Nothobranchius furzeri: one gene and its partners. The protein of the gene in region 1 binds, or shares a complex with, the protein of each later gene. Links are inferred from orthologs where the notes say so. Each region holds a gene or a part of one and is shown in the gene's direction. Other genes may lie near its edges.

The links.
Region 2: snrpd2 (region 1) and snrpd1 share a complex: the UniProt entries of both Homo sapiens proteins name them as parts of the SMN-Sm complex. The link is inferred for Nothobranchius furzeri from reciprocal best matches to the Homo sapiens genes SNRPD2 and SNRPD1.
Region 3: snrpd2 (region 1) and snrnp40 share a complex: the UniProt entries of both Homo sapiens proteins name them as parts of the U4/U6-U5 tri-snRNP complex. The link is inferred for Nothobranchius furzeri from reciprocal best matches to the Homo sapiens genes SNRPD2 and SNRNP40.
Region 4: snrpd2 (region 1) and snip1 share a complex: the UniProt entries of both Homo sapiens proteins name them as parts of the minor spliceosome. The link is inferred for Nothobranchius furzeri from reciprocal best matches to the Homo sapiens genes SNRPD2 and SNIP1.
Region 5: snrpd2 (region 1) and plrg1 share a complex: the UniProt entries of both Homo sapiens proteins name them as parts of the minor spliceosome. The link is inferred for Nothobranchius furzeri from reciprocal best matches to the Homo sapiens genes SNRPD2 and PLRG1.
Region 6: snrpd2 (region 1) and armc7 share a complex: the UniProt entries of both Homo sapiens proteins name them as parts of the minor spliceosome. The link is inferred for Nothobranchius furzeri from reciprocal best matches to the Homo sapiens genes SNRPD2 and ARMC7.
Region 7: snrpd2 (region 1) and gemin5 share a complex: the UniProt entries of both Homo sapiens proteins name them as parts of the SMN-Sm complex. The link is inferred for Nothobranchius furzeri from reciprocal best matches to the Homo sapiens genes SNRPD2 and GEMIN5.

What each region holds. Positions count from the first base shown.
Region 1 is NC_091753.1:27,245,598-27,249,873, forward strand, and holds the start of snrpd2 (small nuclear ribonucleoprotein Sm D2), read left to right. Parts: upstream 1-1,476; 5' UTR 1,477-1,612; coding exon 1,613-1,614; intron 1,615-2,584; coding exon 2,585-2,764; intron 2,765-4,276. UniProt on the Homo sapiens protein: Plays a role in pre-mRNA splicing as a core component of the spliceosomal U1, U2, U4 and U5 small nuclear ribonucleoproteins (snRNPs), the building blocks of the spliceosome.
Region 2 is NC_091759.1:18,894,640-18,898,436, reverse strand, and holds snrpd1 (small nuclear ribonucleoprotein Sm D1), read left to right. Parts: upstream 1-1,428; 5' UTR 1,429-1,552; coding exon 1,553-1,566; intron 1,567-2,111; coding exon 2,112-2,188; intron 2,189-2,521; coding exon 2,522-2,722; intron 2,723-2,995; coding exon 2,996-3,072; 3' UTR 3,073-3,297; downstream 3,298-3,797. Other genes in the region: gamma-glutamylcyclotransferase, read left to right, coding at 3,794-3,797. UniProt on the Homo sapiens protein: Plays a role in pre-mRNA splicing as a core component of the spliceosomal U1, U2, U4 and U5 small nuclear ribonucleoproteins (snRNPs), the building blocks of the spliceosome.
Region 3 is NC_091759.1:20,973,028-20,977,267, forward strand, and holds the start of snrnp40 (U5 small nuclear ribonucleoprotein 40 kDa protein), read left to right. Parts: upstream 1-1,440; 5' UTR 1,441-1,573; coding exon 1,574-1,684; intron 1,685-2,308; coding exon 2,309-2,438; intron 2,439-2,511; coding exon 2,512-2,605; intron 2,606-2,697; coding exon 2,698-2,863; intron 2,864-2,974; coding exon 2,975-3,097; intron 3,098-3,417; coding exon 3,418-3,538; intron 3,539-3,611; coding exon 3,612-3,694; intron 3,695-3,839; coding exon 3,840-3,901; intron 3,902-3,995; coding exon 3,996-4,099; intron 4,100-4,173; coding exon 4,174-4,223; 3' UTR 4,224-4,240. Other genes in the region: zcchc17 (zinc finger CCHC domain-containing protein 17), read right to left, coding at 367-505. UniProt on the Homo sapiens protein: Required for pre-mRNA splicing as component of the activated spliceosome. Component of the U5 small nuclear ribonucleoprotein (snRNP) complex and the U4/U6-U5 tri-snRNP complex, building blocks of the spliceosome.
Region 4 is NC_091745.1:70,706,837-70,710,942, forward strand, and holds snip1 (smad nuclear-interacting protein 1), read left to right. Parts: upstream 1-1,306; 5' UTR 1,307-1,449; coding exon 1,450-1,610; intron 1,611-2,252; coding exon 2,253-2,382; intron 2,383-2,456; coding exon 2,457-2,992; intron 2,993-3,077; coding exon 3,078-3,330; 3' UTR 3,331-3,809; downstream 3,810-4,106. Other genes in the region: dnali1 (axonemal dynein light intermediate polypeptide 1), read right to left, coding at 993-1,070. UniProt on the Homo sapiens protein: Required for pre-mRNA splicing as component of the spliceosome. As a component of the minor spliceosome, involved in the splicing of U12-type introns in pre-mRNAs. Down-regulates NF-kappa-B signaling by competing with RELA for CREBBP/EP300 binding.
Region 5 is NC_091744.1:17,224,387-17,227,105, reverse strand, and holds the end of plrg1 (pleiotropic regulator 1), read left to right. Parts: intron 1-1,384; coding exon 1,385-1,524; intron 1,525-1,604; coding exon 1,605-1,798; intron 1,799-1,888; coding exon 1,889-1,948; 3' UTR 1,949-2,219; downstream 2,220-2,719. UniProt on the Homo sapiens protein: Involved in pre-mRNA splicing as component of the spliceosome. Component of the PRP19-CDC5L complex that forms an integral part of the spliceosome and is required for activating pre-mRNA splicing.
Region 6 is NC_091756.1:50,515,128-50,519,237, forward strand, and holds the start of armc7 (armadillo repeat-containing protein 7), read left to right. Parts: upstream 1-1,310; 5' UTR 1,311-1,343; coding exon 1,344-1,403; intron 1,404-1,477; coding exon 1,478-1,565; intron 1,566-3,562; coding exon 3,563-3,706; intron 3,707-3,785; coding exon 3,786-4,110. UniProt on the Homo sapiens protein: As a component of the minor spliceosome, involved in the splicing of U12-type introns in pre-mRNAs.
Region 7 is NC_091750.1:72,365,791-72,369,290, forward strand, and holds part of gemin5 (gem-associated protein 5), read left to right. Parts: intron 1-481; coding exon 482-621; intron 622-716; coding exon 717-888; intron 889-958; coding exon 959-1,156; intron 1,157-1,271; coding exon 1,272-1,328; intron 1,329-1,412; coding exon 1,413-1,544; intron 1,545-1,635; coding exon 1,636-1,731; intron 1,732-1,803; coding exon 1,804-1,941; intron 1,942-3,500. UniProt on the Homo sapiens protein: The SMN complex catalyzes the assembly of small nuclear ribonucleoproteins (snRNPs), the building blocks of the spliceosome, and thereby plays an important role in the splicing of cellular pre-mRNAs.

The sequences.
Region 1 (4,276 bases):
ATATATTATACTTTTTAAATACAGAGGTCACACAAACTTGCATCCAGTTGATGTAAATTGCTGATAATGACAGATTGTGTTTGCACCAGAGGTTTTTTTTTTAGCTGGAAGACTTAACATTCAACATCCTAGAGACTTTGTTTTTCTATAAACAAAATATTCTGTCATTTTAAATAAATAAACATTTAGATTTGTGCATTTAAATGTTAATAGTTTGATTGATAGACTTGTATCTTGTACTTACTCATCTGATTTAATGCTTGTTGCTCTCTTAATTGGGCCACTGTAGTGTGTTCAGATTAGAGAATGCAGCTCCATCCCATGTAAGGTAACGCTGAGCTCATTTTAGTCTGCATCTCAAGATGCAAGAGTCTAGGGTGAGTGTGCTTGGTAAAGGTATAGAACCGTGCAGTCTGGAAACCAATCCCACTCATTCACCTCTCCCAGCAACACACAGCCTGCCATTATCTACAGCAAGTGATTTCCACAGGTAGATCTGTAACCTTTGGAACAAGGTGGGTGGGTTGAGCACCCATAGGCGTCTGTCTGTCTCTTGCCAGAAAGCCAATCTCTTAGTGTCTCGTTGCTGCCACATATACCCGTTTCTCTCCTTTACACACACACACACACACACACACACACACACACACACACACACACACACACACACACACACACACACACACACACCTTTGCTGTGTTAAACAGCGAAACAAAGGCTTACCTGTTTGGGCTGCAGACTACGGAGAGGTCTGCTTCCTCAGTCTTATTTATTTCCTCTTTACTTTGTGAGGAGAGAGTTTTTGATATAGGGCTGCATGGTACAAATGGTACTGCTTCCCCACAACAAGAAGGTTGCAAGGTTGCCTTTCTTCAAAGTGCATTCTGGCCATGCATACACTGGTTTTCACTGGATACAACAAGAACATTTAGGTTCCATTGTGTCTCTAAATATAAATACATATTTGTTTGTCCCTGTTTGTCTCCATGTGGCCCTGTGCTAGACTGGTGACCCATCCAAGGACTCACCTCTTGACTGATGAGTGCTAGAGTTGGGCATCAGCTTCATGACGTATGAAGAATAAGCAATGACGAAAAAAGAGGGGCTTACCTTTTACACGCTTGTTCTATGCACTGGTTGTGTTGGAACTGTATTGAAGAACTACTATAGATGATGATGATGATGATAGATAGATAGATAGATAGATAGATAGATAGATAGATAGATAGATAGATAGATAGATAGATAGATAGATAGATAGATAGATAGATAGATAGATAGATAGATAGATAGATAGATAGATAGATAGATAGATAGATAGATAGATAGATAGATAGATAGATAGATAGATAGATAGATAGAATTTAGGAAAAAAGTAACTAAGAAAATAATAGTTTCAAGATTTTTACATTTATGGATGATTTTTTTTCCATTACACTTACCGAGCAGAATCTCCGTAACCCGGAAGTTATAGCGAACTGTTTAGAGCGCGTTGAGAATGACCCGGAAGTGTTTTCGTCCACGAGAAGAAGGCAGAAGCGTTGCTCATAAGAATTAGACGGTGGAAACGAGAGAAAAACAGCTTTAAACAGTTTTTATAAACCACCAATCATGTAAGTGTCGTTGATGATGAGATAGCCATTTCGGAAAGTGTCATTTTTTGAGATAGAGTATCAGCTACGAGTCGCAGCGTCTTTTCTCGAATGCTAACATGTTTAGCCTTTTCACTGATGAATGCTAGTTAGCTCACGTTGTGTTGCTTTCTAAACGTGCTATCGCTTTTCATATTTTACTCACCATTAACCTAATATGTACAGGGTAATTACTGCAATAAAATATATGTAGTAGTTACGTTGGTGATCGTTAATGATGCTACGATTGTTTAAATTTTATGTTTGCCAATTGCGAAATATTAGCAGCACGATTAAGGAGACCGGTGTTGAGTCAAATTGTGTTCCCCGTAGATAACAGTTTGACCAACTTTCTAAAATGTGCGTTTGGAGAATGAAATTGTCAGGATATTAGCCTAGTAACGAAGTCGGCTTTATGTTTTTGAAGCATATGAGCTTATTTTAATTCAGAACATCATTGTTAGCGACGTTCTGTCTCAAGGATGTTCCACATGTTTTTTTTAATCAATCTTCTAAGAAATCCATTGCTTGATACAAAAGAGTAAAGGAAGGTTATGAAGAAACTCAGAGAAACAGTTAATTGTTAATGCAAAACTTGTCATTCTAATCTCTTCAATTTTTTTTAACTTCTGATTGCTAACCAGTAAATTAAACGTGTATGTCTGATATTGTTGAATATTTGGCTATTGCTAAAAGTAGCTTGGTGTAAATTTTTTAAAATAAGTTATTAGTTTTGTTAAATGCCTATGGGAACTTCCCCACTCTTCTACTGAGAGATTTAAATTTTAATCTCGGTTAAAGTCAGGTTTCTTGAATTGCATTTAGTTAGGGTGCCTTGTTTTCATTTATTATCTTGTAATCATGTAAGTTTTAAAAGCAAACCGCTAAAAGGACTTGTGACCGTTATCTGTGCAGAAGCAAATGATCTAGTATCGTGTCTGCTTTTGTGTAGGAGTCTGTTGACGAAGCCCAAATCAGAGATGACACCAGAAGAACTCCAGAAGCGGGAGGAGGAGGAGTTCAACACCGGCCCCCTGTCGGTGCTCACCCAGTCAGTGAAAAACAACACTCAAGTCCTCATCAACTGCCGCAACAATAAGAAGCTGCTTGGAAGAGTTAAAGCTTTTGACAGGTATTGAAAGAATTTTCATCTAAAAAAAAACATTCAGAGTTCTGCATCTATGCGAGAAAATTTTACATTTAGCTTTTTATGTTTATTTATTTGCAGACGCTTTTATCCATAGCGACGTACAATTTTTTACTTGTAGGGCATGTTGTGATCTGTAGGGGAAACCGGAGTACCTGGAGGAAACCCATGCATGCATGGGGAGAACACTCAACTCCACGCAGAAAGGCCACAGCCGAGTTTCGAACCTGCAACCTTCTTGCTGCGAGGCAACAGTGCTAACAACTGCGCCACCATGCATTTATGCATTTGGATGGCAGAGTCAAAAAACTTAAAATCACATTTAGGTATGGCTGCCACAAAAGACAATTTTAATAGTAGACTAATCACCAGTTTTGTTGACGATTAGTCAACTAATCATGTCATCATGCATAAAAGTATAGCTTATTGCACCAGGGTGCCCTAATATACCCGATGATAGCTTATCAAACAGCTTTTAGTTAACTTTGTAACCCAGGGGTGCCGGAATCCTGGTCCTGCATGTTTTAGTTTGAACTCCGCTTCAACACACCTGATTTCAATCAGCAGCTAATTAACTGGCTTCTGCAGAGCCTGATGAGCTGCTGCACAGGTGTTTCAACCACTGAATCATGTCTGTTGGAGCAGAAAAAACACAAAACCTGCTGGATACCTGCCCTCCAGGACCAGGATTGGGCACCCCTGTAGTAACCTGTTAATACAAATGCTAAACAGTCAAATGGAGGTAGGCACCTAAAACTAGGGCTGTAGCGAAGCCTCGACGAAGTCGACGGCTCGATTCTAAAAATTTGTCGACGTCAGATCCGGAAGTTGACGCACCGCGCCCACTTGTTGCATCCCCAGGAGTTTGTAAATAGAGGAGGAATCTGCCTGTTTTTCCTCTAGTTTGCCCTCTTCTCCGCCTTCACTAACATCTCCGCCAAATACCGAAGACCCGGAACAATGTCCGTCCACTACTAGATTATTTTCCTGTTTTTCCCCTTCGTCTCCCGGCAACGGACAACAACTTCCGGGGTCAGATGCGCTGCTTCATGTCTATCGCAGATGTAGAAAATCACCGGGAGCGCTTCTCCCTTCATAAAGGAGCTTCTTTCAGACATGAGGAGAGCTGTTTTGGTGGTAGCAGTCTCTCCTCCCTGCTGGTCTGTTTGCTGCCGGGTGTTTTTGGTTTATTTAAACTTGGTAACTTGAACTTTTGGTAAAGCTACTGTTAGCATCTTCGCTAACAGCTTCTTGCATTGGGATAAGCTGTTACGTTTTGGTTTAGAGTTCATCTTTTTTGTGGTGTAGATCTCCCTTTTATTACATTTAGAGTGTTGTGGGTTTTCGGTTTAGTGTAAAATATTACCTGAGTTTGGTTTAACCCGTAAGACCACTCGCCTCACGCACATAAGTGACCAAAACAAAGCAGCATGGAGACACTCCATCTTCTACCACCTCTCAGGCAGCAGCCTGCACTCCCAAGTTCTACACGTCACC
Region 2 (3,797 bases), on another chromosome or scaffold:
TGCAACCTTCTTGCTGCGAGGCAACAGTGCTAACAGCTGCGCCACCGTGCAGCCCACAAGTCGACGAAATTCATTTTATCATCTCTGAGCTGTTTACCTTCATTTTCAGTCACTTTAGGTTTATACGCTTTTAGCATATCGGCGTTCACACTACAGCATCGTTTGACTCGTATTTATTAGCTGCTTTAGAAATAAATCATTTATCATCACTTCCTTATTATAGTGAGGATCTTCTTTTGGTGTGTGTGCCTTCTTTAGTTTCTATTTGTTAACATTGTTTTTTAAACACGCTAAATCAAAGTTTAAAAGCCTAAAACATTTCATGGCGCAGCGGCCCGACGTTTAACCCCTTTATCTGAATGTTCACGTCCAGCTGACCTTTGATTTTATTTTGTTGGACGTGTGACTTCCTGTTTGAGCCCCGCTGTAACGTTTACAGGAGAATAAAACACGACTGCTGATCTGAAGATCGATTACTCAGTTGCTATGGTTAAGGTGGAGAGAAACCCCAAAAGGACATTATCTGTTTCCACATGAAAGATTTCCAGGAACACGTGCTCACCTGCTGTAATATTTCATGACTTCTGTTTTAAACCACTGCATAATTAGATTTTCTTTTCTAGAGTTCAACAGCAGATGCACTGAGTCGAGACTTTTTCTGCTCCAGAATATTAATAACGTGTTGCGTCAATCATGTGCAGGCAACACACAGAGAGGATGACGGTTTTATTTATTTTTATTATTATTAGAAGTGGAATAATGCTGAGTTTAATGGCCTTGTGCCGTTTTTCTTTTTGTGCTTCACACTTTATGATTTATTGGTCTCAGCCTACATCTTTGGAATAAAAAAAAGCACTCTCATTGATTATACTTGATACATTCCCAGCAGGTCTCAAGAAGACAGATTTGATGTGTGGCCAAATCTCTTAAGTATCGGTGCAGAGTTTACTCTTAATAAAATGAGCTGAAAGTGCTGCTTTGTGGTTTTATTCAACTGCGACAAGTTCTCTGAAGTTGTCTCCTGATCTGTTGAATGAATTAGGTCTTGATCAGTTAGGGTTAATTGTTGTGGATATTTTACCTTTTTTCATCTTCCAGATTTTGATAAATCAGTAAAAATGTAAATTTTACTACGACTTTAACACATGTTGCACATAAACACCGTTTTGACCTTTTGGTTGCAAATTCTGCAGATCACGAATCCAGCAGTAGGTAACGGTAGTGATCTTCCTAAATATTGATCATTTAGGGATCTTTGTTTTGGATATTTGACCTTTTAACTGCCAGATTCCAATAAATTAGTAGTAAAATAAAGATTGTGGATTTTAACACTACTGTAAAACATGTTGCACAGAAAAATAAAACAAAAGTGTTAGAACGGATCACAATTCCACCAGTAGATGGCGGTAATTACACCCCCTCGTCTTTGTTGTCGCCTTTTAGTGACGTCACATCCCTGAACGTTTCGAATACAACAGCGGCCTGTGTTTTCACTCGATCGCTGTAATTTTTGTCTTCGGTGGAGGATTTTTCTCTACTGTTTTCCATCATCATGAAACTAGTCAGGTAGGCGGCAGCGGGAGGTCCCGGATTAACCGGAGAATTAACGTAAACTGATCAAATGAAAGTGATGTGGCCGGATGGATTGGGATTTGATTAAACGGTGATGAGGCGGGAAGTGGAAAAATGTAATGGATCCTGAGCGACGTTACGGCGACCGCTGAGGGTTTAAAACACGTTCCTACGCACAGTTTTAATTATCAACATAGATGAACGTCTACTTTAAGTACATTTCTATTTCAATAAGTAAAAATATTAGGCTAGACGTTAACTCATTCAACCGTTGTAGCATTAGCTTGTCAATCAACTAAAGCGGCTCAAAATGGGGTTTTAACATAATTTGTTAGAGTTCATTTTGTAAATATTTAGTTTAGCTGTTAAACTGGTGGATAATCAGTGTTTTTATTGTTTCAAACGCTTTAAAAGTCACCTAATAGCCATCGGTGGCTAACTAGATAGCTAAAGCTAAGCTACTATCTAGCCTCTGCGAGAAATGTCCCAATTACGTTGTGATGTTTTCACTCAGTCATCGTGTGCAATGATGCCCACAGGTTTTTGATGAAGCTCAGCCATGAAACCGTAACCATTGAGCTGAAAAATGGCACCCAGGTTCACGGCACCATCACAGGTGAGCTCATAAAGGTGGTCAGATAAGCCAGGAGTCAGCTGAAGCTCTTTAATTTCAATACTAATGACATATATTTGTATGCATTAAGTAGATTAATACCCACAGCTGTGCTTTCATCCTCATAGTCAGACTTTAGTACAGATAAATCTGCACAATGTATGTTTTTGTATTATTTAATCCTATTTGATGGGATTTTTTTATGTTTAACAAACCCTAGACAAGCACACACACAACCTGCAAATTAAAATATTTTCTAATCTGTAAAATTAATCCTAAACTCAAGTGCCAGATGTACTTATGGCTGGTGTTTCATCCCTCCTCTCTGTTTTTCAGGTGTTGATGTGAGCATGAACACTCACCTGAAGGCGGTAAAAATGACCCTAAAAAACAGGGAGCCCACTCAGCTGGAGTCGCTGAGTATCCGCGGCAACAATATTCGCTACTTCATCCTCCCAGACAGCCTCCCTCTGGACACCTTGCTGGTTGACATCGAGCCAAAGATCAAGTCCAAGAAGAGAGAAGCAGGTGAGAAAGGTGAAAATGCATAAGATATGTTGAGTTGAATTTTATCTTAAGGTGTTTTTTTTAGAAAGTGAATCTGAATTCTCCTTTGCGTGAACAAAAAGGTTTTCACAGTGATGTAACTGGTGTGTTTGCACAGGTTTCTGCATGGGTTTATATTAAAAGAACTAAATTGTAACATTAACTGTACGACATAATTTAAGGAGTGGTTTAAAGGACCAGATGCTAAATGAGCAATATGGTGTTTGTGACACTTGTGCTGATGCTGCTCATCTGTCTCCTCAGTGGCTGGACGGGGACGAGGCAGGGGACGGGGACGTGGGAGAGGAAGGGGACGGGGACGAGGTGGACCAAGGAGATGATCGCAAGGCTGTTCTGTTGATTCCTAACACTTCACTGTTTGTACAGGATTTTTTTTTTCCTTTGCTTCATTAAAGCAGAAACGTTTTGTGAATTTCTGTGTGCTTTTTAGTTGGACTTTTTTTTTTGTACATTAAACTTCTGGTTAAGAGGACAAATTACTCTGACTTCTTTGTGTTGGTTTTTAATACTGAATAAAGTGTCAGCACATAAACTAGCATCATTAACTACTGTGTTGTCCCAATCAGATCCCAATGCTACTGGTGTACTAGCCAGCCCCACGCTTCCTTGTGTATAAAGTTACACAGATGAGTCTGGCAGGCCAGGCTCTAAAATAAAAATGTATTTTATGAAATTATTATTTAGTCATCAGACCTTTATCCCACTACAGTTGACAAAATAAAGCAAAACTGTTTATTTAGTCAACTTTTAGGTGCAGTTTCTCACATCAGTTGTGATAATTGGTAAAACTGCACATGTAGGTGGGGGAACGTTGTTTTACATTACACCGGGGACCAAAGTCACCGCTAGATGGCGGTGTAGGAAAAGTGACCTGGTAGATGGTAGCCTATAGGATGGCTTGCCGGGCTAACGTAGAGGTTCGTGGAATGACGTAAATCATTGCCCAAAGCTAGTTATTTTATATTAAACGATCATCTTTTAACATATTCGTCACATGTCGAAGGCACCAGGTTCTTTTCGAGCAGGAGTATTTTTATCACAATGT
Region 3 (4,240 bases), on another chromosome or scaffold:
CAAATTAGAACCCAAACCTTTTATCTTTTTTCCATCTAGTGGCAAAATATTTTAGGGCAACCACTAAAATTAGAATTTATCATCAGAGATAATGAAGTATAAAAAGTTTGGGACAAACTTCTTCCTATTTTAGCCGTTGATGCTTCCCAGTGCTGCATCTGCTACTAAAATTATAATATATGGTATTAAATGAAAACGTTTTTTTTAAATAAAAAATATAAAGTTAGCTGTAGTCATCTAATATCTCCTATTTTTCTTTTTACAGATCCATTACTGCTTTAAAGGACTCACTTCACTCAGCTGGTTAATATTACTAATACTGGTATTTCATTTTTAAAGATTACAAGCTCTCAGCCTTCTACCAACCTTCCTTCCTGTAACCAGGCAGTCGAACAAAAGCTCCATATGTTTGCACTGAAACCACCTCTCCCTTGGCGATGCTGTACATCGGAGGCAGACCATCCAGCCCGGCTGGTTCTCGACTCGAGCGGTCACGGTTGGACATCGTCTCAATCTGGGCAAACAGTTGGAGGATTAAATATATTTCAATTCAATAACACAACACAGATAAAAGACGAAAGACGAGGAAAAGTTAAAGAAACCCAAAATAAAAGCAATATTGTTCCTTTTACAAAGTAACAGAATAAATTTAAGTATTTATATTGTGAATAAAAATTATTAAATAAAAATCCATAAAACTACTTTCTACGACAACTATTATGTTTTCACAAGTCAGGAGTAGGCAATAAATCAAGTTCAGTTGAAGTTATCCTTCAATTAAAATGTTTTTTCTTCGTTTTCATTAAGAATTAAGCTCAAATAACCCAGTTTAATAATATTAAAACTAGACTAAAAAGACCAGCCATGGTCTAAATTTTATTTAAACGGTAACTGCATATTTTCTAACACTCCATACATGTGAAACAGACTGAGAACCAAACACAAAAAAATAAATAAAAACAAAGAACACAGACAAAAATTGCAGCTGTCAGATTTAAAGAAACTAGGCTAATCTCAAAAACGAACAAATAGAATTATTAATATTGTAAATCAGTTTTAATTTTCAAAACATGGATTTATCTTACCTCAAACTTCACTTTCCATTACATTAATTCGAGCGGAGTAAAAACTATAGGAGACAATATCTCTGGAAACATGAACAGGATAAACGCAACACGAGCATTGGTGTTTACATAAAACCCTCTAACCTATTCCTGTTAAACTGCTCTATGATACATTAGTAAACCAGACAATTGTGCTATAATTAATATATTTTGCGTAATGTGACTCTAACTCTTAAGAAATAAAAATAATTGCAATACCTTTTCCACCGACTAAACTGTGCTAGTTATACTTCCAGGTCAAATTGACGCCAGGAAGAAAATCAGCCAATCACTGCAGCCTGCGCAAATTTCCACCAATCACGAGCTTTGAACCCGGAAGTACTTCAGTGTCTGTCTTCTTTGGTGGTTTTGTTTCCTCAGACGTCTTTCGTCGAAGACGTCCGTTAATTTTACTAAGTTTTAGCTTTGCATTTACTCTATTTAGCCGCTTTTTGTTAACTTTCCCCGCAATGATTGAACCTCTAAAGAGACCCGGAGACATGGCGATGGTTCCCACTGCGCTGAAGCGGCCACGGATGGAGCTAGTAGCGGCGGCTCAGTCTCAGCAGCTCGTGGCCACGGTAACGTAGCCCTGGTGACATCCGACTGCGTTTACATTCAAGATTAAATCATACTTACCACCTTTATAGTAGTTATGTTTTTAAGTTTGAGAAAAGGGCAAGCTATGCTAGCCGGGGACTTATGTATTCATTAACCGGACCATGTAAGCAGATTTAGTCACGTTTTCATGATTAATGTAAACATCAGAATAGTTGACAATAGAATTCAATATGCAAAAAAACTATTTTCAAGAGCGTGTTGGTTATTGTAATTATGTATTTTATTGGTAACAATATTTATTATTAAAACAGCCTTCCTTTTTAATATTTGATTCAAATAACAAAGCATATATAATAAATAAATAAACTGTCAAGATGATCAGAGTTCACTTGTGCATCAAAGGTAAAATATATATACACAGATATCACCTTTTATCATAATGCAAGCTTAAGGAAACACCAGATTGTAATTGCCACTGGTGCAATTAGGATCTACTTCCAGCTCCTACATGATTAAAGGGAGCATTTACTTCACTCTCTTTGCTAGATCTCAGCAAGTCATCCAGCTCGTATGCATTTAAAGTAAAGTACCACTTGTTGTTTCTGCACCATAATGCTGCAAACCTAAATCACTGATCCCCATAGGGCCATCCACGCACCTCCAGCATGCAGGCTCCCATCATGTTGATGTCTGGCCATGAGGGGGAGGTCTACTGCTGCAAGTTTCACCCCAATGGAGCTGTGTTGGCCTCTTCAGGATTCGACAGACTCATATGTAAGTTTGTGTCAAACAGTAGCAGACATATGTTTGTTAAAACCGCTTTAAAATCTCTGTTACCATGCTGCAGTGTTGTGGAACGTGTATGGAGACTGTGAGAATTACGCCACCCTGAAGGGTCACAGCGGAGCGGTGATGGAGCTGCATTATAACACAGATGGCAGGTAGAGACGGTGGAATATGATCAACTAATATCTGGTGGATTATTGCGGAACTTGAGTCAGAAGTGTGATACAGAGGTGTCTGTGTGGTTCAGCTTGTTGTTTTCAGCCAGCACGGACAAGACTGTTGGCGTGTGGGACAGCGAGACAGGTGAGAGGGTCAAACGTCTGAAGGGACACACCTCCTTTGTTAACACCTGCTATCCAGCTCGCCGAGGTCCTCAGCTGGTCTGTACAGGAAGCGACGACGGGACGATCAAGGTCAGGCTGTTTTCTGGGTGTTTTGCTGTGAAAATGAGGTCCAACACACACCGTTCACACACACCTACATTGTTGCACGTTTTGTTTAGCCTGATGTTTTTTGTTTTCTAGCTGTGGGACATCCGCAAAAAAGGAGCCATCCACACCTTTCAGAACACCTACCAGGTTCTGGCCGTGACGTTTAACGACACCAGTGATCAGATCCTGTCTGGAGGCATCGACAACGACATCAAGGTTAAAAAAACAGTTTTTCTTAAAGGGACTCATTAAACTGTTTATCTTGAAGAAAGTCAGACTAAACATTTTAATCCCTTTAACAACAGCAGATGGTTGCAGTGATGCTCTGTTTCAGCCATTTTAAAGTTGATTGACTGAAGATGTTCAGTGAGATTTATTGTCAGCCCTTGGTTGTTTACATTTTTGTTTGCTTCAACTCCAAACGCAAGTTTATTTTTTGTTGATTGTTGCAAAAATGTGAAATGTCGAAGGCAACAAATCGGCTCCAGCCTAAAATTCTCTCCTGGTCGTTGATCTGAAAGCTTTGTGTTGCTCAGGTGTGGGATCTGCGACAGAACAAGCTGATCTACAACATGCATGGACACGGGGACTCTGTAACCGGGCTCAGCCTGAGCTCCGAGGGGTCATACCTTCTGTCGAACTCCATGGACAACACTGGTATGCTCGGCTTCTGATCCTGCTCATCTGTGCTTGAATCGCATCCCTCAAAGAGTCTCGCGTGTCTTTGCAGTGCGAATTTGGGACGTGCGGCCGTTTGCACCCAAGGAGAGGTGCGTGAAGATTTTCCAGGGTAATGTTCACAACTTTGAAAAGGTAATCTTCACTAGCAGACAAATGAACAATTCACTTCTAGGTCAATCTGAGAAGTCGTACATATCTGGACTAAAGAAAACCGCTTTTTAGCTGTGAAAGCTCCGGGTCTGTGTTCTTCTCATGTCCTCTTTTCCTGTTTATTCAGAACTTGCTGAGGTGCTCCTGGTCCACTGATGGCAGTAAAGTAGCCGCAGGATCAGCCGATCGGTGAGAAACGCTTTGGTGACTTTTTAAACCCAAACGGAGTAAAGATAAGGCACTGAGAGCCACTTTTGTTCCCCGCTCTGTGCGTCTGCTACAGATTTGTGTACATCTGGGACACCACGTCTCGCAGGATCCTCTACAAGCTGCCGGGCCACGCCGGTTCTGTTAACGAGGTGGTGTTTCACCCAGAGGAGCCCATAGGTGAGCGACAGAACAGGAACCGGAACCAAACACAAGAAAAAGTCACTCATTTATTCTTTTCTGTGTCTTTGCAGTGCTGTCTGGCTCCAGTGATAAACGTCTGTACATGGGTGAAATCCAATAAGGTGTGTGTGTGTGTGT
Region 4 (4,106 bases), on another chromosome or scaffold:
AGAGTTATGTGAAATCTTACTTGTGATTTTACTATAAAACATAATAATAATCAACTTCTCCTTCATGTTTGCTCGGAGGTGTATAGAGCATCCTGTCCGCTCATTGGTCAGTGAATGAAACCTCCGTTGATTGGTCCTCGTCTGAGCGACAGCGATGAAAAGTTGAAAATGTTTCAACTTTCTGGGATCGCGTCGCTGGGTCGTCCGTGCACGACACGTGCACGAGTGCAAAATTTCACACGCACGTTTTTCGCGTTTCGCTTAGTAGGAGAGAGACCCCCGATTATCGCTTTGTCGCGCATGTCTCATTGAAAATGAATGGAGGAGAGGTGATGTCGCCTCCCGTGTGTTGAGCCCTTAACACTCATGCCTGATGATTTTCCTGTTGTGCCTCACTCATGTGTCTTTCTTCCTCTGTCCTCTCTCTTTTCTCCTCTTTTTCTGTCTCTCTTCCTCACAGCACTCCTGTCTTCTCTTCTGTCTGTACTAACAAAAATGTTGTCAATCTGTGGGACAGTGGGGGCGAGTGAGACTGCTGCACACACACAAAAAAAAAGACTGCTGCTTGCGTGGGCCCCCTTGTGGCTGTGGGCCCCTGGGCCTGTGCCCAGTTTGCCCATATTATAATCCGGCCTTGCCAAAAGCGCATCACGCACAGTGTGTGGGGTTTATGAAAAAAGCCAGATTATATTAATTATAGCATTAGCTACTGAACAACAAGCACACAAACAACACTTAAGTAATTAACTGGCGTTATTTCCCATCTGTATAATTTAAGCCGATGTGCTTTTTTCCGCTCTGGTTTGTGAGATGGGCAGCAGTTGTTGTTTTTTCCCTTGTCAGTGGCTCTATTCCCTTTTCCGTACAGAGTAGAAATAAATAAATAAAATGTAGGGCACAAAAAGTCTGGATCTCTTTGCTCTGTGTTTCTTCCAACAACTTCCGTTAATGGTACCCCTTCAATCCACACCTTTAGGGTTTGTCCGACTTACTTTGGTTGAGCTTGAGGCTGTCCTCTTAACCAAAACGGGATCGTCATATTTCAAGAGAGAATCGTCTAATTCAATCATCCTGACGCCTTTATGTACAGAAATAGCTGTTTATGTTGTCATGGTAACGTTCGGGCGTTTGCCGGAAAACAGAAAAAAAAAGATCTAAGCGCAATTTAAAAAAGAAAAATAGCTCAAATCCACTTGGAGTTGAATTTACGGCTTCATAAAAATATCTGTAGTTTTCATGATTTAATCCGTGTTATCTTTAAACGGAACGGAAGTCATCATAGCGGAACGTTTAGTTGAAAGCACATATACCACGTCGGAAGAAATTGTCAGCGCGCCAAACGGAAACGGAACGCAACTTTAGCAACCGTTTGGTGGGTTTTGCGTTTGTTTGCTTCTGTGGCTAACTATGCTTGCGTAGCCACAAAAAGTTGACGGATTTTGTTCAAAAATGGCCAAAGAGAAGCGACACAAGAGAAGAGATTCTCCCACGCGAGAGCCGGAAGTGAAAGTAAAACAGGAGAAATTGAGTCCGAGTAGGCCGCAGAAATCACGCCGCTCGAGGTCGAGATCCACAGACAACTCCAGTCCACAGAGGAGAAGAACCAGCAGGTAAACACGCGTTTGTCGCCCTTTGAGCACCACCAAGGTGATAATATTCAGATCTGATGTTCTTTATTTTCTAATAACTGAATTTAAATGTGACTTAAGTTGACACATCTTCAAAGGAAATGCTTTTTAGAAAAAAAAAGTTCAGATAATTTACGTTATTTCTTTATATCACAGTAAGTAGATTGTTATTAACACGTGTATTTACAACTATATCACGTTCAGCTTCAAGTGCCTATAGTACGTCAGTTAGATTATTAACCAAGCTCCTGTCTTACTCGAATGAGTACAAATCAAGAAACAATCAAAAGCATCTAAATATATAGTTTATATAGCTACATTTATTTAAATTTCTTATAATGTGTAGTAATATTCTAAAATCCAATGGCAATTAGCTAAAACATGCGTTTTAGCTAATCAAAACTTTATTAATTGGTATCAAAAACTAACATCTTAGATCCTCTACACACATTTTGGATATTTAATGCAAAGTCAAAGTATTGATTAATCTTGTTTAATTCCCACACCTGATCTCTTACAATCTCTAACACTGAAAGATGACTTTATTACTATTTTAGTTTGTAAATGCTGCCTAACTGATACGAGTGGCTTAAGAGTGTTTTCTCTTTTGTGCTCCTCACACAGGTCACCCGTGAGGACAAGAGACCGCTCACCAGGCAGAAGGGAGACCTCTCCTGTTAGACGAAACAGCAGATCTCCCAGAAACAAGAGAAATCACAGCCCTCATTGTAGCAGTGACTCTAGAATAAAGAGGGTGATTATAAAATTCTAAACTGAAACTGACTTGTCTCAACTTGTAGTCATGAAGGTTTTGTGTTTTTGTTTTAGGAGCGTGATGAGCATAGATCTAGCGGCGATGAGCGGAGGAGGAGGAACGAGCAGCCAGATGAAAGACGAAGCAGGTGGGAACATAACAGGTCCGGGGACCGGGATGGAGAGAGGCATCGTGAGCGAAACTCCCAAGTGACTCAGCAAGCTGAGCGGCGGCAGCACGATGAGCGGCGTAGGGAAAATCGGCGGCGGCGTGAAGAAAATCAAGAACAGGAGTTTGGACAAGCTGAGGGAGACGGCAGCGACTCGGGGGCACCGCCTGCTGATAAAGAGAAGCCCAACTTTGAATTGTCAGGGGCTCTCACAGAGGACACCAACACGTTCCGTGGGGTGGTGATCAAGTACAACGAGCCACAGGAAGCTCGAATTCCAAAGCGCAGGTGGCGATTGTACCCTTTCAAGAATGATGAACCCCTTCCTGTCATGTACATTCACAGACAGAGTGCCTATTTGTTGGGGCGGCAAAGAAAGATCGCTGATATCCCCATCGACCACCCATCCTGCTCCAAGCAACATGCAGTATTCCAATACAGGTATGTTGTATGTAAATGTTTTCACTGTGTGATTAATTAGATTTGTGGGGAAAATATACAACTAAGGATTCTGTTTATTCTGCAGGTTAGTGGAGTACACTCGAAAAGACGGCACCACTGGCCGCAGGGTAAGGCCTTATATCATCGACCTCGCTTCTGGCAACGGTACCTACCTGAACAACCAGCGGATCGAGTCTCAGCGCTACTACGAGCTCAAAGAAAAAGACGTTCTCAAGTTTGGCTTTAGCAGCCGCGAATACGTCCTATTGCACGAATTCTCCGACACGAGCGAAGTTGATGCAAAGCAGGAAGAAGAAGAAGACGAGGGTCTTGAGTAAATTACTCCCAATGTGTTTGTGCCTAAATTCATTTATGATGGATAAGACCAATGAGAATGTTAGAAAGTGGAGCGATGTATCTTGTGCGTGGGAATTCACACCACGTGGTTGGATTGTTATGTATATTGTGTAAATATTGAACTCTTGCTTAAACCTGCCACACCTGTCTCCAAGTAGACCTCCTTTCTCAGGATTAATGCATGGCTGATCTCATGTGTTATGTCAGGGTACATCATTGGAAAACCAACCTTATGTTTAGGAAAGCATTTCTTATTGACTTAATGAACATAAATACACAGAATATAATAATTGTATTTTTATTTTTTGCTTTTTTTTGTAGTGGAGGGGAAATACTTGATGCTATGTGTTTCTGCATCATTTATACAAAAACTTCCCTGTTTGATTTTGTCAGTTCAGGTGTATTGATAGTAAGAGTTCATTTTTCTACTGTAAATTAAAATATAGATTATTAAAAAAAATCTCTGTGATTGTTATTAAAGAGCAAGTAACGCCTAAATTAACTATTTTTTTTTGTGCTGATAACTTGCACAGATGAGTGTCTAATGGGGCTGTACACACGTGTAATCATTAATGTGGCAGTTTAGTAGCCTGGCAAGCCAGACTAAATAAATGTATTATTTACTTTGCAAAGCAAGAATTTGGTCTAGTTCACTAGGTTAGCAGTTTAGTGCGTCTTACTTAAAATTTGATACTTCAGCCCAAAACCATAATTATATCTCCATCTTTTGGTTAAAACCTCTGCTCCACATTTATGT
Region 5 (2,719 bases), on another chromosome or scaffold:
AGGAGTCCAGAGATTTAAACCAGTCAGCTGGTGGTTTGTTTGTGATCATCGAGAATAAGTAATTTATTCTGGGTAAGACCATCATTTTAATTGTAGCAACTCTCCCCATGAGTTATATTGGTAAGGATTTCCATCTTGCAAGATCATCTTCCACTTTCTTTAAAAGTGGGATGTAGTTTAGTTTGGTTAGATCTGCTAACTTGGGAGAGATATTAATTCCCAGGTATGTGATATTCCCTTACTCCAATTGTGTATTAAGTAAATTGACAAAAGAGAAATTAATTGGTAGAACTGTGGATTTTAACCAGTTTATAGAGGAAACTCTTAAAAAAGAGTTTATCAGTTCTATTGCTTGGGAGAGAGAGGATTGAGAATTCCGGAGAAAGAGTAAAACATCATCTGCATAAAGACTGATCTTATGTTCTATTTTCTTACACTTTATCCCTTTAATATCTGTTGTTTGCCTAATTGCTGCCGCTAGTGGTTCGATAAAGATAGCAAACAGTGAGGGGGAGAGTGGAAACAGTTTTTAACATCATCCTGCAGGAGACCACAAAACAGTGCCATTCGGGGGGGGGGGGGGTGTTAATATTTTGCCTTTGGGGGTTTAGGAACAACAATTTCTTTTCCTTCCGTTGTGCTTCACCAGTAAGTCTTCCAATTTAACAAATACAGGTTGTTTTGGGCAATTTCTGCCGATGTCATTTCCTACTGAGTTACAACCAGTCGTGAATTAAAGAGCAAGTCACCCCCTACCACAGTCTTACTCCACTCCCACTTCCTGTTTGAAAGGAAAACTGACCGAGAGGGCGGAGCCGTTAACAAATACACACCCCACTGTGCGACATTATAATGTACCAGCTAATGTCATAGGGTACCTCTTAACCAATAGCAATGGCAGATTTAAATTCAAATGCAGTGCTGAGTTTTTACCTGCAGAGGGCGCAACACTGACAGTTTTCACAATTAGACACTCATTTATATAGTTAATCAGTAAAAACAAGTTGATTTGGGGGTGACTTGCTCTTTAAGTCTTTCCCAGTGACTCTCCAGGTCTTTTCTGAGTACATACCCCAGTGCAGGTACTTGGTCCCTGAAGTGGAGCTTTTGGGTCTGCCAGGTGAAAAGGAGAAATGCACATGCCACGAAGGTCCGGTAAAGTTACCCAGAGTTTCCGATAGTAGAAACGGGCCTACTCAGTCATCAGTGTTTTCACCATTTCTCTGTAATAAAAGCAGTTCTAACACCTAACCAAATGCATCCATGAAAAGTTTGGGTTGTATTTGATCCGTTTAGGGGTCACTAGGTACACCCCTGACTGGATTGTGGATTACATCTGAGCTACAGGGTTGTAATTTAGCAAGTTTTTTCATTCTTTCCACAGATACACATTTGCATCAGGATCAGCTGATAACATCAAGCAGTGGAAGTTCCCAGATGGCAACTTCATCCAGAATCTGTCAGGCCACAACGCCATTATTAACACGCTTGCTGTCAACTCTGATGGCGTGTTGGTGTCTGGAGGTAATAATTACCTCCTTCACTCCAAACACTGATGAGGCTTTAGGTTGGATTCATAATGAATTCATGACTCTGTCCTCTAGCTGATAATGGAACCATGCACATGTGGGATTGGAGGACAGGCTACAACTTCCAGAGAATTCATGCCGCCGTGCAGCCCGGATCTCTGGACAGCGAGTCGGGAATCTTCGCCTGCCTGTTCGACCACTCAGAGAGCCGACTGATCACCGCAGAGGCAGACAAGACCATTAAAGTGTACAAAGAGGACGACACGGCTGTGAGTTGTTTTCCTGCTGCCAAAGCCTTCTCTGTGCAGATTTTAAGGCAACAAAGAGATGAATTAACCTTTTTGTTCTGTTTGTTTCAGACTGAAGAAAGTCACCCGGTCAACTGGAAACCAGAAATCCTGAAGAGAAAGAGATTCTGAGCAGTTTTTTTTTTTTGTCGTCCTGTCAGTTTAACTTCTGGTTCTTTAAACACGCAGCAGGTTTTTTGTAAGAACAGTGTCATGACCGTTACTCCCTAAATGCTGTTTCAGTGTAGACTTCATTCTCTGTAGGGTCGAAACCTGCAGCAGGAGGGAAAAACGTTTATTACTTCAGTAGCTGTTAGTTGTACAGACGCAATGCTCCCATTTGTTCTGGCTTGAAAAGTGACATTTATTTTGCTCCATTTGAATAAAAATCTGTCTTTATTTACTTTGTTTTTGTTTGATTTTAACTAGGAATGGACAATATATCGGCATCAAAATCGGTATCGGCTGATGTTAGTCCTTTTTTTAACATCTGTATCGGTCCGATTAATAAAACTGGGCCGATATTGACAACCGATATTTTTTCCATCTTGTCTCCATGTATTTATCATTTGGGGCGGGTGTAATTGTTTAGTCATGTGAACAGTGATTGTTATCTCAGAAGCGTAAATGTGTATGGTGTGTGTACATAACGTAAATTCAGCTTTAATCATTTTAATTCTATACAAAATCTGATTTTAGAAGCATTAATGTCAGTTTATTTGTATTGGCAAATATTGGTTATTGGCCATAACTGATTTTTATATCGGTATCGGCCCAAAAATTTCATATCAGTGCACCACTATTTTAACGGTGCTTCTTGTTTAGTAGCTGTTCTCTATTAAACTTTATTTTAATCAGCCATATTATCAACATTCACACACAAGAACTTAAGTTAGCAACACA
Region 6 (4,110 bases), on another chromosome or scaffold:
TTGTTTGTAATGGGAGTTTAAACTTTAGCATATTAATTTGAGCTGAACTGAGATTAAAACTTCAAAATCTTCTCTAACCTCTCCATTATGAAGTTAAAATTTATATCTCAGACTTGATACACCTTAATGACAAAATACAAGTCCTGATACTTTGGTTTTAATTCAACCCTGATAAAAAAAAAAATCGTTTATCCAGTAATATTTTTCTCCCACTGTTTCTGTTTGGCTTAGGGGTTTAGTCTGTTTTTCCCAGATAGTAAGTACATTTTATTTATATAACACCCATCACAGACAGTAATCACAAAGATAAAAAAAACAAGACAAATTAAAGATGATTCGAGTTAAAAATAAGGCTATTTATGTAGATGGTGGTTAATTCTGCTCCCGCTTGACCAACACGAGTGTCAAAATTTAAAAGCGTGGTTCCTGCTCAGCTGAACTTCCATCCAGTCTTATAATTTACTGATTTACTGGATGACTGTAATGTCTGATGGCCTGTAAAGCATCAGTCGTCTGCAAAAAGTTCATATGTTCAGTCACTTCCTGTCTGTTGCTGCTTCTTCTTCTCCACCAGCTCTTTCTGTTTCTCCCTCCTCTCCAGGACTTCCATCATCCTGGCATAGTTGCGTTCTCGCTCCTGGGCCTTGAGCTCAACCACGTCTTCAAGGAACCTGTGTCTGCATAAACGACAAGCAAATATGTTTACGATTTGCTGCTAACTCATAGTATTTAATATTTTTGCTTCAGTCTCCAATGACAGTTTCACCGTCACACCGGTGTTACAGTGAAATGTGTTGTGCGTGTGTTTCTTTTACGCAGTTAGCAAAGCTCAGTTTCACCTGTTAATGAAAATAGTGGCGAGTCCAACCAGCAGAGTTCCGAACAAAATGGGTTTGGCGAGGCGCTTTCTCGCGGACAGCCGGTGGTGATTCATTGTTGCTGTTTTACTTAAATAAACAAAGCGACATAGCGTTTTTGTTAAGCTGACCTCCCGCAACGTGCGTTATGTGCTGTTGTACGAGCACATAAACACAAACACACCTTCTGCTCCTTAACTTCCGCTCAGCTGCCGGTGTTGTATCAATCTCTGTACACCATTTAAAATGTGTTTCCTCATCGGCTCGCGTAGCTCTCGCGTATTTCATTGCACAATTGTGACAGCAATGCTAGCATTTATAACGTTATAGGCGAGTTTATAGCAACGATGTTACGATTTCGTGTAGCTAAAAATGCGTTACTCTTTAAATCATGCGAAAGTGAACGGGGAACACATCTTCACGGACAAACAAGTTTTGATAAAACAGCGGAACAAATATCTACTTGCGCAGTTTTTCCGAACACTTATGAGCCGCGGACCCATACGTGAAATGAAAACAACCTCTGAATCAGCTATGAACGGTCAAGTAACTTAAACATCAGCATAATCTGATATCTGTGTGAATTTTATTTGAAGTGTTAAATGTGTTTTTGCTAAAAGATGAAGAGAAATGAGTCAGCTGAAGCGCCTGAACGGTTTGAATATTTACAGACGCTGGTTACTGAATTTCAGGACACTGACAGTGAAGGTAGGAATAACCTTTGATCTGTGTTCTACAAAGTTAAAATAAAAACCGTTTTAAAACGAACACGTAGACTCTCAACACCCTCAGTTTAGATGCATGCTATTATTTATTAGTGATGGGAATGGCTCAGCTCACCAGAAAGAGCCGGCTCTTTCGGCTCCCAAATGGCTCCTCAGATTTTCTGTTTCGTAGAGTACATTTATAACCAAAATAATGCAAAACTATATGTAAAATTATTTACTAATGTAAAAAAAAATGCAATATATCAAATATTTATAATTTCTATGGATTTAATAACTGAACACTTTAAGAAATTGTCACTTTCCGACTGCTGGCGCTCATTTTCTCACCGTCTTCATCACACTCTCCTCTCTATCTCGCTCACCTTTTTCCTCCTCATTCCCTCTCGTCTACCTCCACCTGCATGTGCTCTGCTGTGTGTCTGAGTCTGATTCTCCCTCTTCCCCGTCCCTACTGCTCTGTGTGTGGACAGTCTGGTCACACAGTTACACATGTTGACCAATCGCCTGTAGCGTTCACCAAAGCAAGAGGGGAGGGGGGAGGGGAGGGGACGGCTCCCAATGATGAGCCGGCTCCCGTTGTTCACTTCAAAGAGCCGACTCTTAGAGCCGGTTCGTTCGGACTGACACATCACTATTATTTATATCGTTAGAGGGCTTTTTCAGAAGCCGTTGTTCAGTCGAAAACTGTACTCTCCATCAGTATATTTATTTGAAGTGAGAGAAAAAAAATCGTCAAAAGAACATTTGTATATATGTTAGACCAGTTTTTATCCATTGCAATAGGAGAAAGGCTGACTATCAGCATTAGAATTGTGTTCAGAAGACAAAAAGATCACAAATACATGCAAATGACTTCATGAAGTTAAAATTTTTCGAAAAAGAATCTGTAAACATGACTAAATCAGGTAGAAGTGAACAAATACATCAAATAAGCTGTAATTCTAAGCAGCGTTTTAAGTTTTATTCTGAAAGTGTATCGTTGTGACATGAAATAAATGTAAGCTTAGTATTTGGAAACCAAAAAGTGACGTTATTTAACCAAATTCTGATTGTTCATTCTACATGTTAGTTCACTTTGAGATTACTGCCATAAGTAAACATTTTCTGTTGGATTTTACCGCAGAAAGCTGCTTGTTTTTATTTTTAAAAAAACGGTGTTAAAAATAAGTAGCCAGATAATGTGATGAATTAAATAATGCGCTAGTTCCACATCCATCCATCCAGTTGTAAATATCTACACTGGCTGCCATTAAACTATAGAAACGATTACTAAGTGCTACTGCTAGTTTATAAATGAGGCCAAAATACATGTTGGATCTCCTTCCTGTATATATACACCCAGCAGGGCTCTGAGATCCTTAGGAAACAGTCAGCTGGTAGAACCTCGGGTCAGAACCAAACAGGGTGAAGCTGCTTTTAGCTACTATGCTGCTCACAGATGGAATCAGCTTCTTTATGACCTGAAATGTGCCCCAACTCTAGTAACTTTTAAGTCAAAATGGAAGACTTTCATGCATTCATCAGCCTTTGAAGGATTATTTCTCATGCTGTACCTTCTGCGCTCAGTCTTTAACTTTGTCTTTTATTTTATTTCTTACATTTAATTTTATTAGAGTATTTAAAATTTGAATTTAAAAGCTGCTGTTTTACGTCGTCACGTTGATTTTAATCTTTTATGATCATGCTGGTCATGCACCTGGAAAGTACATTGAATAGCTTCAGTGTATGAAATGTGCTACACAAATAAAGCTGCCTCGCCTTTCTAGTTTACAGACAAATCTTATTTTTATACTGTCAGCTCCACATTTGAGCCTGAAGGGTGTTTTGATGTGAAAGTAAAAAGCGCCCCCTGTGGTATAAATGTGTACTGTTTCTGTGCTGCAGCCTCTGTTTATCATTGTTTGTAATGAGCTGGTGTAAGGTGAATTAGTGGATGTAGGTATCTCTGTTTGTTTCATTACTTTTTCTCTTTATCAGAGGCAAAGGAGCAGGTTCTGGCAAATCTAGCCAACTTTGCATATGACCCAAAGAACATGGAGTACCTGAGGGAGCTGCAGGTTCCTGACCTGTTCCTGGACATGTTGACCGAAGAGAATGAGAACTTTGTGGAGTTTGGGATGGGTGAGCATCTCTCCAACTAAAACAGTAAATCATGTTTGTTTATGTAAAAATCATCTAAACTCAAATATTGTGTTGACAGGGGGTCTGTGTAACCTCAGTATGGACCCTGGATGCAGAGACATCATCTTGGAGAACGATGGGATCAGCTTGATCACAAACCACCTGTCAAACCGGAGGGAGGAGACGGTGCTGTCTGCCGTCACCACCCTGATGAACCTCACCACACCAGCGACCTGCTCTCAGATCACAGAGCCAGGGATCGTTCAGTGCATGCTGCGCTTCTCACTCGCAGAGAGCCCCCGTCTGCGCAACCTGGCCTCGGTCTTCCTGCAGGACTGCTGCAGCCAGGAGCAGGTGAGACAGGCTGAGCTGCAGATGCAGGGGGTGCAGACGGCCATCGGGAT
Region 7 (3,500 bases), on another chromosome or scaffold:
GCTCAACTAACATAATTTACGGCCCAAATCCAACAGAACCGGTCGGGCTGATTCGATTCGGGTTTGGTCTCAGGTTATAACTCCAGCGCTCAGCACCACCGCCGTTAAAATAACACAACTACATTCCACTATAATTGATTATGGCACTCTTCTGTGATGCAAAACCGTTTATGCCCGCATCTCATGCATTGATTATTTGATTATTTTCCTCAGCTCTGTCCTAAACCTCCCGGTCGGGGGTGGGGGTGGGCGGAGCCACAAAGAGAGGGCTTGCGGGCCGGACGTGGCCCGCGGGCCGCCATTTGCAGACCACTGCTCAAGGGCAACATGCCGATTATCACTTGTAAGCCGCTTTGGACCAAAGCGTCTGCTAAATACATGAACATGAACATAATAATAAAGAGGGAAGCGAACATGGAGTGTGCAGTAGAAACAGAATCAGACACGCTGGATGTTAACGTTCTGATCCGTTTTTCCATAGAGAATCCTCCAGAGGAGCCGGCGGTTCTGACCGAGTCCTATCGTCGGTTATCCGGCCACACGGCTAAAATCACGGGGATGTCGTGGAGTCCGCATCACAGCGGCCGGCTGGTCACGGTCTCCTACGACGGCACCGCCCAGGTCAGCAGCTGGAAAAGCTGCACGGAGACGTTCCCGCTTGGAACGGCTTTCTGCTCTAAGCTTGTAAAAGTTCTGTTTGGTTCTGGTTCCTGCAGGTGTGGGATGTTCTGGAGGAGGCTGCCATCTCCAACTACCGCGGTCACAACGGCTACCTGCTGTGTGTCGACTGGTCACCCGTTGACCCAGATGGGATCTGGACCGGAGGGAGGGACTTCACCGTGCACGAGTGGAAGGTCTCCAAACAGGAATTCACCAAACCCCCCAAAGGTACACCCGGATTTGGGTTCTGGTTCAGATCCAACAGACCAAGCCAGAACTGTCTGTGGTGTCATCTCAGGAAAGAAGAAGGTCATGATGCAGGAGAAGCGGGCCCGTTCCAAACAGCAGAAGAAAAAGAGCAAGAACGGGTCCGGAGGAGCCACGGCGCCGAACATGAACGGAGATTCTGTTGTAGGAGTAACCATGACGACTGAGAAGGAGCTGTCTGAGGACGAGGAGGAGGTCCGATCCACACAGAACCAGGAGGTGACCACAGGTAGAAACAAGTCGGTTCTGGTTTCAGTGGAAAAAGAATTTCATTTAAACTTTAGTTTAAAAATGATATTTTAAAAAATTCTGTGGAAAAATAAAAGAATTTTTTTCTCTTTCAGCAAATTTTGAGACGCAAAAAAACTCAATTCCTGCTGCGAAAAGTAAAGAAAAACCAGGTTTTTGTCTGAACTGAGGTCCCAGCTGGGTTCCGGCCCAGTAGACTGGTTCTGGTCCTGATCAGCAGCTCTTGGTTTCTCCAGATCTCCTGGTTCTGAAGAAGAAGAAGGCCCGCTCCATGCTGCCCCTCAGCACCTCCATGGACCACCGGCCCAGAGAGGAGCTGCTGCAGGACGTCCTCACACTGGCCTCCGTCAGACACCCGGGGGGTGCAGGTCTGTAGCCGGGTGGTGCTCGCTGCTCGTGGTCATGGTGATGCTTTTACTGAAGGCAGGAGGTGTGTGTGTGTGTGTGTGTGTGTTCCAGCCCCTCCTGCAGGCTGTGTCCCGGGTCAGGGGGACCACCTCCATCTGGGCCTGTTCCACGACCGACCGGCGCTGTACCGCATGTTCCAGGCAGAAGGTCGGTTCTTCCTCCTGCTTTTACTAACAGGAACGTTTTTCATGCGTCTGAACTCCACTTCCTGCTCCTCAGAGGACGCCCACATCGAGGCAGGTCACTACGACTCGGTGGTGTACCTGCGCCTTTGGACTGGAGACCTGGAGGGGGCGCTGCAGCTTGCCACAGAGAGGGGCGAGCTGAACGACCACCTGCTGTCCATCGCCCCCATGGGTAACAACTGAAAGCCCTCAGACCCAGAACTTCTCGGTGCTGGTCGATCGAATCTGAAAGAACTTTGGTTTTTACATTTAAAGAGCCTACAGGTGCTGGCCAGTAAATTAGAATATCATCAAAAGGTTGAAAATATTTCAGTAATTCCATTCAAAACGTGAAACTTGTACATTATATTCATGCAATGCACACAGACCAATGTATTTCCAATGTTCATTACATTTAAATTTGATATTTATAGGTGACAACCAATGAAAACATCAAATCTGGTATCTCAGAAAATTAGAATATTCTAAAGGCCAATGAAAAAATGTTTGTTTCTCTAATGTTGGCCAACTGAAAAGAATGAACATGAAAAGAATGTGCATGTATAGCACTCAATACTTAGTCGGGGCTCCTTTTGCCTCAATAACTGCAGTAATGCGGCGTGGCATGGACTCGATCAGTCTGTGGCACTGCTCAGGTGTTATGAGAGCCCAGGTTGCTCTGATAGTCGTCTTCAGCTCCTCTGCATTGTTGGGTCTAGCGTATTGCATCCTCCGCTTCACAATACCCCCTAGATTTTCTATGGGGTTATGGTCAGGCGAGTTTGCTGGCCAATCAAGGACAGGGATACCATGGTCCTTGAACCAGGTGCTGGTGGTTTTGGCACTGTGTGCAGGTGCCAAGTCCTGTTGAAAGGTGAAGTCTGCATCCCCATAAAGTTGGTCAGCAGCAGGAAGCATGAAGTGCTCTAAAACTTCCTGGTAGACGGCTGCATTGACCCTGGACCTCAGGAAACAGAGTGGGCCAACACCGGCAGATGACATGGCACCCCACACCATCACTGACGGTGGAAACTTTACACTGGACCTCATGCAACGTGGATTCTGTGCTTCTCCGCTCTTCCTCCAGACTCTGGGTCCTTGATTTCCAAAGGAAATGCAGAACTTGCTTTCATCAGAAAACATAACTTTGGACCACTCAGCATCAGTCCAGTCCTTTTTGTCCTTGGCCCAGGCGAGACGCTTCTTGCGCTGTTTCTTGTTCAAGAGTGGCTTGACACACGGAATGCGACACCTGAATCCCATGTCTTTCATGAGTCTCCTCGTGGTGGTTCTTGAAGCGCTGACTCCAGCTGCAGTCCACTCTTTGTGGATCTCCCCCACATTTTTGAATGGGTTTGTCGTCACAATTCTCTGCAGGGTGCGGTTATCCCTAGAGCTTGTACACTTTTTTCTACCACATTTTTTCCGTCCCTTCGCCTGTCTGTTAATGTGCTTGGACACAGAGCTCTGCGAACAGCCAGCTTCTTTAGCAATCACCTTTTGTGTCTTGCCCTCCTTGTGCAAGGTGTCAATGATTGTCTTTTGGACAGCTGTTAAGTCAGAAGTCTTCCCCATGATTGTGGTGCCTTCAAAACAAGACTGAGGGACCTTTTAAAGGCCTTTGCAGGTGTTTTGAGTAAATCAGCTGATTAGAGTGGCAGCAGGTGTCTTCTATATTCAGCCTTTTCAGAATATTCTAATTTTTTGAGATACCAAATGTGGAGTTTTCATTAGTTGTCACTTATGAATATC